Linked DNA regions of Lonchura striata. The protein of the gene in region 3 purifies or fractionates together with the protein of the main gene of each other region. This does not show direct contact. Links are inferred from orthologs where the notes say so. Each region holds a gene or a part of one and is shown on either strand. Other genes may lie near its edges. The genes, in order: GLMN, DCAF11 and CUL4A.

Region 1 (3,745 bases), on a different chromosome or scaffold from region 3:
TATTCCTCAGAAATTATACCTTTGAGCAGCATCTTCATTTTTCTGAGCAGCTGAATGCTTATTTCCTAAGAATCAAATATACAGATATCAAAATTAGTGTACTTGCTTAACAGCAGATGTTGGAACCTGAAAAATATGAAAACCTCTAAACTGTAAGCACAATTAAGATAATTTCTTATTATTGCTTTTGCTGGCTGTGATTTCAGTAAGCTGGTATTCAGCAACCAGACACACTTTAAAAAGTGTGAAAACAGGCCCAACGCTTCTTATACTCTCATTCACCACGTTCTGTATGCACAAAAAAGAGAAAACATTCTGACAATGGCGTTGTGCCAGCCACACCCCCCGTCTCTCCAGGCGGTAAAGCCCAGTTTTACCGCGGCGCCCCACTGCCGTCCCCACGGCTGCCGCGGGGCAGGGCTGAGCCAGGGGCCAGGTCCAAGGCCTGACACAGAGCCGCTCCCTCCCGGGACGGCGCCCGGCCCGGCTCCCCACACGGGCGTCCGCGCAGCCGCTCCCCTCCGACACGGGCAAAGGCAGGGGCGCACCGGGCTGTCACCCTGGCAAGGACGCAGCGCCGCGGGCAGGGCTCGGCGCTCTGACGGCACGACCGCCGCCACAGCCCGTCCCCGATGCTCAGAGCCGCCGCCCCGGCCCCTCACAGCCCGAGGGCACGGCGGGTCCTGCCTCGCCCCGTCCGGCGCACCGCTCATCGCGGCCCCGCACCCGGCCCGGCAGAGCCCGGCAGAGCCCCGCAGAGCCGACCACGGCCGGCCCGCGCTCCCCTCCGCTTGGCTTGGGCGACACCGCCGCCGTGCCGGCCTGCGGGCACAGGGAGAGCCCAAAGCGCAGCCGGGGGGAGCGGGGGCTGGCGCGCGGACCCCGGCGCCCACCTGCGCGCCGCCGGCGGGACTTGCCCGCCGCGGCCGCCATCATCGCCGTCAGCGCCGCTCCGCCCGCCGACCTCTCACCCGGGGCGGGGCCGGGAGAGGCGGCAGCGCCGGGCTGAGGGCTTCCTCTGGCAGGGGCTGAGCTGAGCTGAGCACAGGCGGTGCCGTGCCCTTGTGGCTTGTAATTCAGCCGTGTGTTACAGGCTTTAGCTGGCAGCCTTTTCGTCCCATCCTGGCTGTTGTACCGCCCAGAGAAGGGGCTGGGGTATCTGTTTATTAGAAGAGAGTTTGGTGAGTATTAATAGAACGTTTCACATGATTCAGACGCTGCTCACTTGCCGCTGAAACCTCCTAAAAGATTCACTTGGAAGCCGGATTAAGTATTAAGGCCGGAGACCATCTGCGAGCTCAGCCAGCAAATCCATGCAACACGGTGGGTGCCTGGGACGCGTTTCAAGGCTGTAAGTACATTGTCAAGTTACTGAGGGCTGCTGTTCGAAAGTATGTTAAATTGTTTTGGCGGGATTAGTAATAGTCTGTAAAATGAAGAGTTTAAATAGTACAAGATGTGGTAAGAAAGTATGTGGTAATGATCTGGTTGAAATGACAGGCTAGAAAGGATAGGTTTCAGTGACATACAGGTGTCAGAATGGGCCCTGAAGAATAGGAAGTGAGTTGTTTATTCTTTGAATAAAGAAGGTCATACACAGATGCCTTTTAAGCTTTTGTGAGTTGTCGCCTCTTGTGAGCGTCTAGATAGGTTCATTATCTGTGTGTTGTCTCATTTAGGTGTGCTGGCAATTGGCCAGCGTCAACCCACCACTTTAGGTAAAACTAAGAAGAAAGGCTCAGGACATTGCATGGAGATGCCTGTTTTGATGAATAGTTGCCTAATTAACCAGGTGTAGGGGTAATTGACAATCATAGTGATAATATAACCAGGTTTAGGTCCATGGCATTACTTAAAACCATAAAGATTATGACTGCTGCTATGATATATCACATGGGATAACCAGGCTTGATTGCATTTTTAATTCATGAGCCTGGCTACATAAAACTTGGTACATACTTGACATTACTCAAGTGTATAACTTTGTTGTTTTTAGCAAGAAAGTTTTAAATTTTAATACCTAGAGGTAAAAAGCCACTGCACTAGTCCCACCTAGACACTAGAAAGAAATAAGTGAAACTGCATATGTAATCTTCACTGGACTGTTGATATAAACAGGCATGGTGTTTGAATCAGTGCCTTCACACACCAGATATCGGGTTAGTGTGTTCCAGTCAGGGCTGAGCAGAAGCTCCTCTGGTCAGAATAGGCACAGAAAATGTAGTGTGTCATGGGTGTGCCTCCTTGGCATGCAGTGAGCCCAGACTTGCTCTGTGTTAGCTGCAGTTTTCCATGTCTGTGCCTGCAGTAGTCACTGAAACCTTCACACTTCTTAAGATGACCCAGATAGTACTTGAAAAATTATTTCCCTGTACATAGAATGCATGTTGTTTCCTGTCTGTAATACTGTTTCCTGCTAATATGGGGAGTAGAATAATATAGCATACACTTAGTAAAAATGAATTTTCCCTTATTTGCTAATTATGTAGTCTTTATATTTGTCTAGATTGTTCTTGTTCCCCCATTAACTTTTTTTTTTTTGATAATGTGATTATTTTTCAGCCTCTGTTTTAAATCCGTGTAATATAATACTGCCCTCTTTAATTTATAATAAATTTTCATGCTGGAAGAACACAGTCAAACTAAAATGGCAGTTGATGAACTTCAAGACATAATACAAAGATGTGTAAGTAGTTTTCCTTCCTTAGAAGTAACAAGTGTCAGTAGTGCGAGTTTCTTTTCATATATTAGAATTAAAACCAAAATTACCTCAAAAAACAAGTCCACTGTTAGTAGAACTCTTCATGGAACAGCTAAGTTGAGCCTCCATGTTTCATTGCCTTCTCTGTGGTGCTTATCCCAAGATGCTTGATTATTTCTGCTTCTTGGAGAAGGAGGTGTGTACCTAGGAACAAAAGCTGGTAGTTGTAGAAAACACATCTTCCAAACAGCAAGCTGTAATGTAGACTTAGTGCTATTGAAATACTGCCCTGTCTTCTGTAGTAACTTGGTAGCTTTTTTAGTAAGTTAAAAATGTATAGAAGTTACAATGATATTACATCTAATTTTGAAATGAAAGCATGGATTTTCTTATTTCTTAATTGACTTTGCTAAGTATGAGGTTAAACATTCATATTTTCTTTCTAGCAAATTCTGGAAGAAGCTGATTTCAAAGGAGAAGATTTCAATCTGTTTCAGGTAGCAGGTCAGAAATGTTTGGAAGATGGATATGCAGCTCAGTTATTAGAAGTAATTCAAAATGAGAAAAACAAGGTGAGTTTAAGTTTGCACTGCATAGTAGTGTTTATTAACATTAAATATAAAACTGCTAATTAAGAGGGGAAAGCTACTTTCTCTGTGGAGCAAGGCTGTACATAAGAGTAGCTAATAAGTTGCCCTGTGTTAAGTGCCCATTATTCTGTATTCAGGTATCTTACAGAAACCCAAGTCACAGTAATCTTAACAAAACCATTAATAACTCTTCTGTGAGTGAAGCAAAGAGAAAAGGAAGTAGAAAAGCATAATTAGGAGAAAGTGGCATGTCCCACTTCCACAGGACGGGGATTTCAGATGGTGTACTAGGTCTGGCTGGCATGGAGTTGGCTTTCATCATGGCACACTGCATAGTGCTGTGTTTTAGATTTGTGACCAAAAAGGTGCTGATAATACATCAGTGTTTCAACTACTGCTGATCAATACTTGTGCAGCATCAAGGCCTTCTCCCTTTCTAACTCTGCTCCCAGTA
Region 2 (3,745 bases), on a different chromosome or scaffold from region 3:
AATTTTCCCCAATATTTCCCCATTTCCCCAATTTCCCCATTTTTTCCCATTTTCCCCATTTTTTTCCCCAAGATTTCCCCATTTTCCCCAATTCTCTACATTTCCCACATTTTTTCCCCGCTTTTCCCCAATTTCCCCCAAAATTTCCCCATTTCCCCCATTTTCCCCATTTTTCCGCATTCTTCCCATTTTCCCTATTTTTCCCAAATTTCTTCTTTTTTTCCAAATATTTCCCCTTTTTTCCCAAATTTTCCCCCATTTTCCCCCAATATTTCCCATTTTTTCCCCATTTTCCCCCATTTTTCCCCAAATTTTTTCTTTTCTTCCCATTTTTTCCTCATTTTCCCCAAAATTTTCCCATTCCCCCCCAATTTCCCCCATTTTTCCCCATTTCCCCCATTCCCCCCAATTTCTCCCATTTTCTCCCATTTTCTCCCAATTTTTCCCCATTTTTCCCCATTTTCCCCCAAAATTTCCCCATTTCCCCCCATTTTTCCCATTTCCCCCCAAATTCCCCAAATTTCCCCCATTTTTCTCCATTTTTCCCCATTTTTTCCCCATTTTTCCCCGTTTTTCCCCAATTTCACCCAAAATCTCCCCAATTTCCCCCAAATTCTCCCATTTTTCCCCATTTCCCCCCATTTCCCCCCATTTTTCCCCATTTTTCCCCATTTCCCCCCAATTTCTCCCAATTTTTCCCCAATTTTCCCCATTTTTCCCCATTTTTTCCCATTTTTTCCTATTTTTCCCCATTTTCCCCAAAAATTCCCCATTTTTCCCCCATTTTTCCCATTTTTCCCCAAATTTCCCCCATTTTCCCCCCGTTTTTCCCCAAATTTCCCCCAAAATTCCCCATTTTTCCCCCTTTTTTCCCCTTTTTTCCCATTTTTCCCCATTTTTCCCCATTTTCCCCCATTTTCCCCCATTCCCCCTCTCCACCAATCCCCGCCTCCCTCTCATCCCGCCCCTCCCCTCTCCACCAATCCCCGCCCTCCTTCCATCCCCTCCCCGCTCCCACCAATCCCCGCCCTCCTTTCCCCCTCCGCCAATCAGCGCGCTCCCCCCGCAGGCCACGCCCCCTCCCCCCTTACCCCACGTGTCAATCAGCGCGGGGGGGGCGTGGCTCGCTGCCTGCGCGCTGATTGGCGGAGGCGGCGCGGTGGGCGGGGCCTAACCCGGAAGTGGCGGCGCGGGGGGATCCATGGGCGGCAGGAGCGGAGGGGGGGGAGGGGAAAGGGGAGGGGGGGGGAGGGGCGGCCCCGGGGGGGGGGGAGGGGCCGGGGAGGGGGAGGGTGGGGAGGGGGGGGAGGGGCTGGAGCTGCCGGAGCTGCGCGCGCTGCTCAGGAGGTGAGGGGGGGGGAAACTGAGGCAGGTTCGGGGTGGGGGAGGGGGTTTGGGGGGTGGGGGAGGGGATTGGAGGGGTGGGGGAGGGAATTTGGGGGGGATTTGGGGGAAACTGAGGCAGGTTTGGGGGTGGGGGAGGGGATTTGGGGGGAAACTGAGGCAGGTTTGGGGGTGGGGGAGGGGATTTGGGGGGAAACTGAGGCAGGTTTGGGGTGGGGGAGGGGATTTGGGGGGGATTGGGGGGAAACTGAGGCAGGTTCGGGGTGGGGGAGGGGATTTGGGGGGTGGGGGAGGGGATTTGGGGGGTGGGGGAGGGATTTGGGAGGGATTTGGGGGGAAACTGAGGCAGGTTTGGGGTGGGGGAGGGGATTTGGGGGGAAACTGAGGCAGGTTTGGGGTGGGGGAGGGGATTGGGGGGGATTTGGGGAAACTGAGGCAGGTTGGGGGTGGGGGAGGGGATTTGGGGCATTTTTGGGGAATTTTTTTGGGTTTTTGTTGGGAATTTTAGGGAATTGCTTGGGGAAATTTTTGGAATTTTTTGGAATTTTTTTGGGAGATTTTTGGGCATTTTTGGGGTGAATTTTGGGGTAAATTTGGGTGAATTTTGGGTAAACTTTGGTTAAATTTCGGGTGAATTTTGGCTGAATTTTGGTGTGAATTTTGGGTGAATTTTGGCCATTTTTGGGCTGAATTTTGGCCATTTTTGGGGTGAATTTTGGGTGAATTTTGGGTAAATTTTGGCTGAATTTTGGCTGAATTTTGGGTGAATTTTGGGTAAATTTTGGCTGAATTTTGGCTGAATTTTGGCTGAATTTTGGCTGAATTTTGGCTGAATTTTGGCTGAATTTTGGCCATTTTTGGGTCATTTTGGGGGGAATTTTGGCTGAATTTTCGGTGACTTTTGGGTGAATTTTGGGTGAATTTTGGCTGAATTTTGGGTGAATTTTGGCTGAATTTTGGCTGAATTTTGGCTGAATTTTGGCTGAATTTTGGGTCATTTTGGGGGGTATTTTGGCTGAATTTTGGGGTGAATTTTGGGGTGAATTTTGGTGAATTTTGGGGTGAATTTTGGCTGAATTTTGGCTGAATTTTGGCTGAATTTTGGGGTGAATTTTGGCCATTTTTGGGGTGAATTTTGGGTGAATTTTGGGTGAATTTTGGCTGAATTTTGGGGTGAATTTTGGCTGAATTTTGGCTGAATTTGGGCTGAATTTTGGTGAATTTTGGGTGAATTTTGGCCATTTTTGGGTCATTTTGGGTGCCTTTTCTCCAGGGCCGGGCGGGGCAAATCCCGGAGCCGGATCCGGACTCAGACTCGGACTCGGAGCCGGAACCGGAACCGGAACCGGAACCGGAAGCGGAAGCGGAAGGGGGGGGAGGGGCCCCGGAGGCCTCCAGAGGTGGGGGCGGGGCTTAAAGGGGGCGGGGCTTGAGGGGAAAGGGGCGGGGCTTAAAAGGACCACATTTAAATAATGGGGCGGGGCTTAAACAAAGGGGAGGGGCTAATAGGACCTGATTTGAATAAAGGGGAGGGGCTTAAACAAAGGGGAGGGGCTTAAGGTGACCTGATTTGAATAAAGGGGAGGGGATTAAATAAAGGGGAGGGGCTTAAGGTGACCTGATTTAAATAAAGGGGAGGGGCTTAAACAAAGGGGAGGGGCTTAAAGGGGCCAGGTTTAAATAAAGGGGAGGAGCTTAAATAAAGGGGAGGGGCTTAAAGGGGTCGAATTTAAATAAGGGGAGGGGCTTAAACAAAAGGGAGGGGCTAAAGGGATCTAATTTAAATAAGGGGAGGGGTTTAACTATAGGGGAGGGGTTAAAGGGGCCTAATTTAAATAAGGGGAGGGGCTTAAATGGGCCTAATTTAAATAAAGGGGAGGGGCTTAAATAAAGGGGAGGGGCTTAAAGGGATCTAATTTAAATAAGGGGAGGGGTTTAAATAAATGGGAGGGGCTTACATGGATCTAATTTAAATAAAGGGGAGGGGCTTAAATAAAGGGGAGGGACTTACAGGGATCTAATTTAAATAAAGGGGAGGGGCTTAATGTAACATAATTTAAATAAAGGGAGGGGCATAAATAAGGGGAGGGGCTTAAAGGGGAGGGGCTTGCATTGATCTAATTTAAATAAAGGGGAGGGGCTTAAAGGGACCGAATTTAAATAAAGGGAGTGACTTAAATAAAGGGGAGGGGCTTAAATGAATCTAATTTAAATAAAGGGGAGGGGCTTACATGGATCTAATTTAAATATGGAGAGGGGCTTAAATAAAGGGGAGGGGCTTAAAGGGGAGGAGCTTAAATTATCTAATTTAAATAAGGGGAGGGGCTTAAATAAGAGGAGGGGCTTATATGAGGGGAGGGGCTTAAAGGGGGGGGGAGGGGCTTAAAGGGAGGGGTCAGGG
Region 3 (3,745 bases):
GCACCATACTTACAGCAAACAAAAACACACCCGCATATACTCAAACAGGGCCCACAGAGTAATTAAAAAAACAATAACAAAAGCTTGCTTACTTGCTGCAAGTACTGGTTTATGGTGATGTGCGCCATTGAAGGGTCCGGAGCTGAGGCGGAACTCCCGGCACTCCCCCCGCGCTTCCGGATCCCGGCGCGCGCGAGGCCGGCGGGAACGGCCCCGAGCGTCACGTGACAGCCCCCACCGGCCTATGCCCCGCCCACCGCGGGCCCGGGGCGTGGCCTCACTCGGGCAGCCAATAGGAGCGAGCGTGGGCGGGGCAGGGGGCGCGCGCCGGCGGCAAACCGCGTGCGCTGGCGCTGAGGGGTGGCGGGTGCTGTGACTGCCACCAGCGCTGCCTCTGGTACCCGCGGCTTGGACAGCAGGCGGGCGGTGCGCTCCGTGTGGCCGGACACTCCAGTGACTGCCCCAGGAGGGCTATGGAGGCTCGCCTCCCAGTGCTCCAGCGTTGCCCACGGGGAGCGCTGGCGAGAGGTCGCCGGTGAACTTGGGTCGAAAAAGTTGAATTGAGCATTAAACTTCCAAGCAGGTTGACTCCTAAAGGCGCTGGCGCCAGGGAGATGTGTGAGACAAGGACGTGCTCCATGTTCGTGCAGGCTGGGCTCGGTTGGGTTTGGCAGGTGCCGGTGAGCAGGGCGCGGGCGGCCTCTGGGGATGGCGGCTTTTGTGGGCGGCAAGAGCGGCTGCTCTGGCTTGCGTTCGGCCGCCCTTCGGCGGGTACCAGCAAACAGGGCAAGCAGGGACACCGAGGGGCCGCTGCCGCCGGCGGCAGGCTGCCCCGGCCCGGGAGCCATCTTGTGAGCGGGGCTGGCGCTGCCCGAGCGCCGCGGGCCGCCCGGACTCGGGAGCGGACTCGAACCCGGGCCCGCCCCGAGCCGGCCGCGGGGGCCGGCGGAGGCGGGCGGGCGGCTACCGGTGCCTTCCCCCGGCGGCACTTGGCAGCCGCCCGCGGGCAGTGGGGGAGGGCAGCTGGGTGGCGGCGGCGGGGGAGGAGGAGGGGAGCGGAGGCGGGGACCAGCCGGCCCCGGCCCGGCCCAGCCCAGCGCGTTGCCCCGGCCGGACACGGCGCCCGGGGCGGAGATGGCGGACGAGCCGCAGAAGAAGTCGCACTTGTCGGCCTTGGTGGGACACACGAACGGGCTCACCAAGCCCGCCTCGCTGACCGCCAGCCGCTCTGCGGGAGGGGGAGGAGGAGGCGCGACCGCCTCCTCCAAGAAACTCGTGATCAAGAACTTCAGAGGTGGGTACGGGGCAGGCCGGGCCCTCTGTCCTGGCAGGTGCGCTCGGCCCGATCTTTGTTTACCGCGGCCGCTCCCCGCCCCGTGCCCGGGCCCCGCCGCCGTCACCCGCCCGCCGCCCTGTGGGCGAGGGGAGGCGGCGGCGGGGCTGATAACGCCGCCGGGCTGACAGCGCTGCCGGCACCGTGCCCGTGTAAGGGCTCCCGGGGACACGCGTGGGGCGCCGTGCGCGGGGGCAGCGGCCGTCGGGAGCGGGCAGAAAGCCACCTTAGTGTCAGCGCTGATTAAAGCCAGGCGAGGGTGGTTGCCTCGCTAAAAGTAACACGGGCGTCAGACACAGCGGCCGGGGGGTGAAGCGCGTCGTGCAAAGGCTCGGGTGGAATTAGTGACCCCTCTGAGTGTGCCAGACTTACAATGCCGAGAGCACAGTGGCTTGGCAGAACTTGATGGAGCGGCAGGGAGAGAGAAATTGCTGCAGGCTCTCGTTGGGTGGCCGTTTTCAAACTACCTGTGTCTTACTTCACAGAAAGACCCAAATTACCTGATAATTATACTCAGGACACCTGGCAGAAACTTAATGAAGCGGTGGGAGCCATACAGAGTAGTATTTCTATTAAATACAACCTTGAAGAGCTCTACCAGGTAAGCTACATAAGGTGTTGGTTTCGTTTTTTACAATTAAACTGCTTTGGCACACATTCAACATAATGTATTTTGATTTCTTAAAAGCTGATTGAATACTCTGCTACATACTTTGTAATCAGTTTTTGTATGTATCAGTTCCTCGGAAAGTTACCAGGATCTGGGCCCATGAAAAAGCAGTTTCTGTTGGGAGGCACAGAAAGCTATTCCTGGGCAGGGCTGAGATCTAAGTCTTAGTATCTTCAATACTCTGCCCACTCAGCATGCTGAAAACAGGATGTTACTCTAACAGGGTTATGAATTATTTTCGTGCGTGCTCTGGTCTCTTGTAAATAGTAATGTTGAAGTATTTGTTATTATTGCATTATAATATTACACTTGTATACCTTTTGGGGAATTAAAAAGCAATCTTGATTGAGCAGGCAACAAATTGTCACTTTATCCACATTTCAGATTACTGTTACATTTTCATAAAAATCAAGATCTTAGTTTTTTGGTTCAAGTGATGAAAAAGCATTTCTGGAACACCTGCACTACTGGAGCAGAGGCTAGGGAGGTTAAAAGAGATGGACTCCTAAGCCATTTCTTTACTTTCTCCAGTTATATGTGGTTTAGTTCTATGTTATTTCAGATGTATGTGCTTTGAGGTATTTAGCTGAAGTAGCAGCTTTCTAGAAAGAGCATGCTATAAAAGAGTACTGATGCACTAAATTGTGCTATATAACATAAGTTCATTATGACTTTTCCGTGGGTGCAGTGTTTGATCTGCAGGTTAATGTCCTTGCCGGTCCAGGACTGAAAATATTATTATGCACTCCTAAAATTTTCTAAATGTTTAGTTGAGGTGCAAAGGGTGGACTGTGAGGGAGGAGAATGCCAGTAGTCCATACTGGGTCCCTGTTCAAAAAGATCAGAATGGGTTTCAGAACTGGCTATACTTACCCCTTTAGTTAGGGTATGTAATATATAGGTCTAAAATAGCTGATTATGTAAATGTGTATTAGCTTAAAATAATTATTCCCTTTAAATATAAAACTTGACTATAATATATCTATTAATAATCACAGATTTGCAAAGTTTGAATGACATAATGCCTTTTATTGTTTTAAATTTGGCATTTGAAAACAACTGCTTTTTCATGTCTAGCAAAAAAAAAAAAAAAACAAAAAAAAAAAAACCAAAAACCAGCCCACAGATGCTTTGAGTGTTACCTAACTTGTTTTCAGAGGATCAGAAATGAGATTATAGTAATATGTCTATGAAATCACTAGGGAACGTGCTTGAGTTTTGGCAGAAGAGGAGAGATATTTCAGATAAACTGTGAAGGGAGAACTGTACTTCTTGCTTTTTCTCTTTGTTTGCTTATTTGTAAAAACTGTGCAAGGCTGGTCAAATAATCCTTAGCACAGCAAATCGGGAAGATTTCTGCACAGTGGGTGGTGATGCTCGGTGTGCCTCTGCATAGACAGGTTTTACTGTCCTGCCAGAGGAATAAAAGATGAGGTTCAGCATCCATTGGAAACCTGATCTGTATTTACAGATCATTTTAACTGCCTGTTGGTGAGCATCGAGTCATCCGCAAGGGAAAATATCTCTGGCTGCATCAGTTCTTACTATCAGGCCTTTGTGGTGGTTTTTGGGGTTTTTTTGAGTCTTTATCTGACATTATAGGGGGAAGTGAGAGGCCTTCTAGAGTTCAGTGCACTCAGTGGGTTGGTGTACCAGCCTACAGTTGAACCTTCTGATTTATTTATTTAATTTGGCACAGTGGCTGAGAAGAAACTGAAGAACAGTGATGAGGCTGTGTGGGA

What was found.
Region 1: the proteins of CUL4A (region 3) and GLMN purify together in Homo sapiens (affinity purification with mass spectrometry; 5 studies listed by BioGRID and IntAct, counting the BioPlex papers as one, with this or other methods). This does not show direct contact. The link is inferred for Lonchura striata from reciprocal best matches to the Homo sapiens genes CUL4A and GLMN.
Region 2: the proteins of CUL4A (region 3) and DCAF11 purify together in Homo sapiens (affinity purification with mass spectrometry; 13 studies listed by BioGRID and IntAct, counting the BioPlex papers as one, with this or other methods). This does not show direct contact. The link is inferred for Lonchura striata from reciprocal best matches to the Homo sapiens genes CUL4A and DCAF11.

Annotation. Positions count from the first base shown.
Region 1 is NC_134611.1:20,526,932-20,530,676, reverse strand, and holds the start of GLMN (glomulin), read left to right. Parts: upstream 1-943; 5' UTR 944-1,323; exon of another isoform or gene 1,324-1,351; intron 1,352-2,562; 5' UTR 2,563-2,620; coding exon 2,621-2,686; intron 2,687-2,822; exon of another isoform or gene 2,823-2,872; coding exon of another isoform or gene 2,873-2,905; intron 2,906-3,147; coding exon 3,148-3,273; intron 3,274-3,745. Other genes in the region: putative RNA polymerase II subunit B1 CTD phosphatase RPAP2, read right to left, coding at 20-65, 894-936.
Region 2 is NC_134641.1:644,973-648,717, reverse strand, and holds the start of DCAF11 (DDB1- and CUL4-associated factor 11), read left to right. Parts: upstream 1-1,201; coding exon 1,202-1,208; intron 1,209-3,745. UniProt on the Homo sapiens protein: May function as a substrate receptor for CUL4-DDB1 E3 ubiquitin-protein ligase complex.
Region 3 is NC_134604.1:91,515,395-91,519,139, reverse strand, and holds the start of CUL4A (cullin-4A), read left to right. Parts: upstream 1-1,085; 5' UTR 1,086-1,134; coding exon 1,135-1,294; intron 1,295-1,818; coding exon 1,819-1,934; intron 1,935-3,745. Other genes in the region: PCID2 (PCI domain-containing protein 2), read right to left, coding at 93-128. UniProt on the Homo sapiens protein: Core component of multiple cullin-RING-based E3 ubiquitin-protein ligase complexes which mediate the ubiquitination of target proteins. As a scaffold protein may contribute to catalysis through positioning of the substrate and the ubiquitin-conjugating enzyme.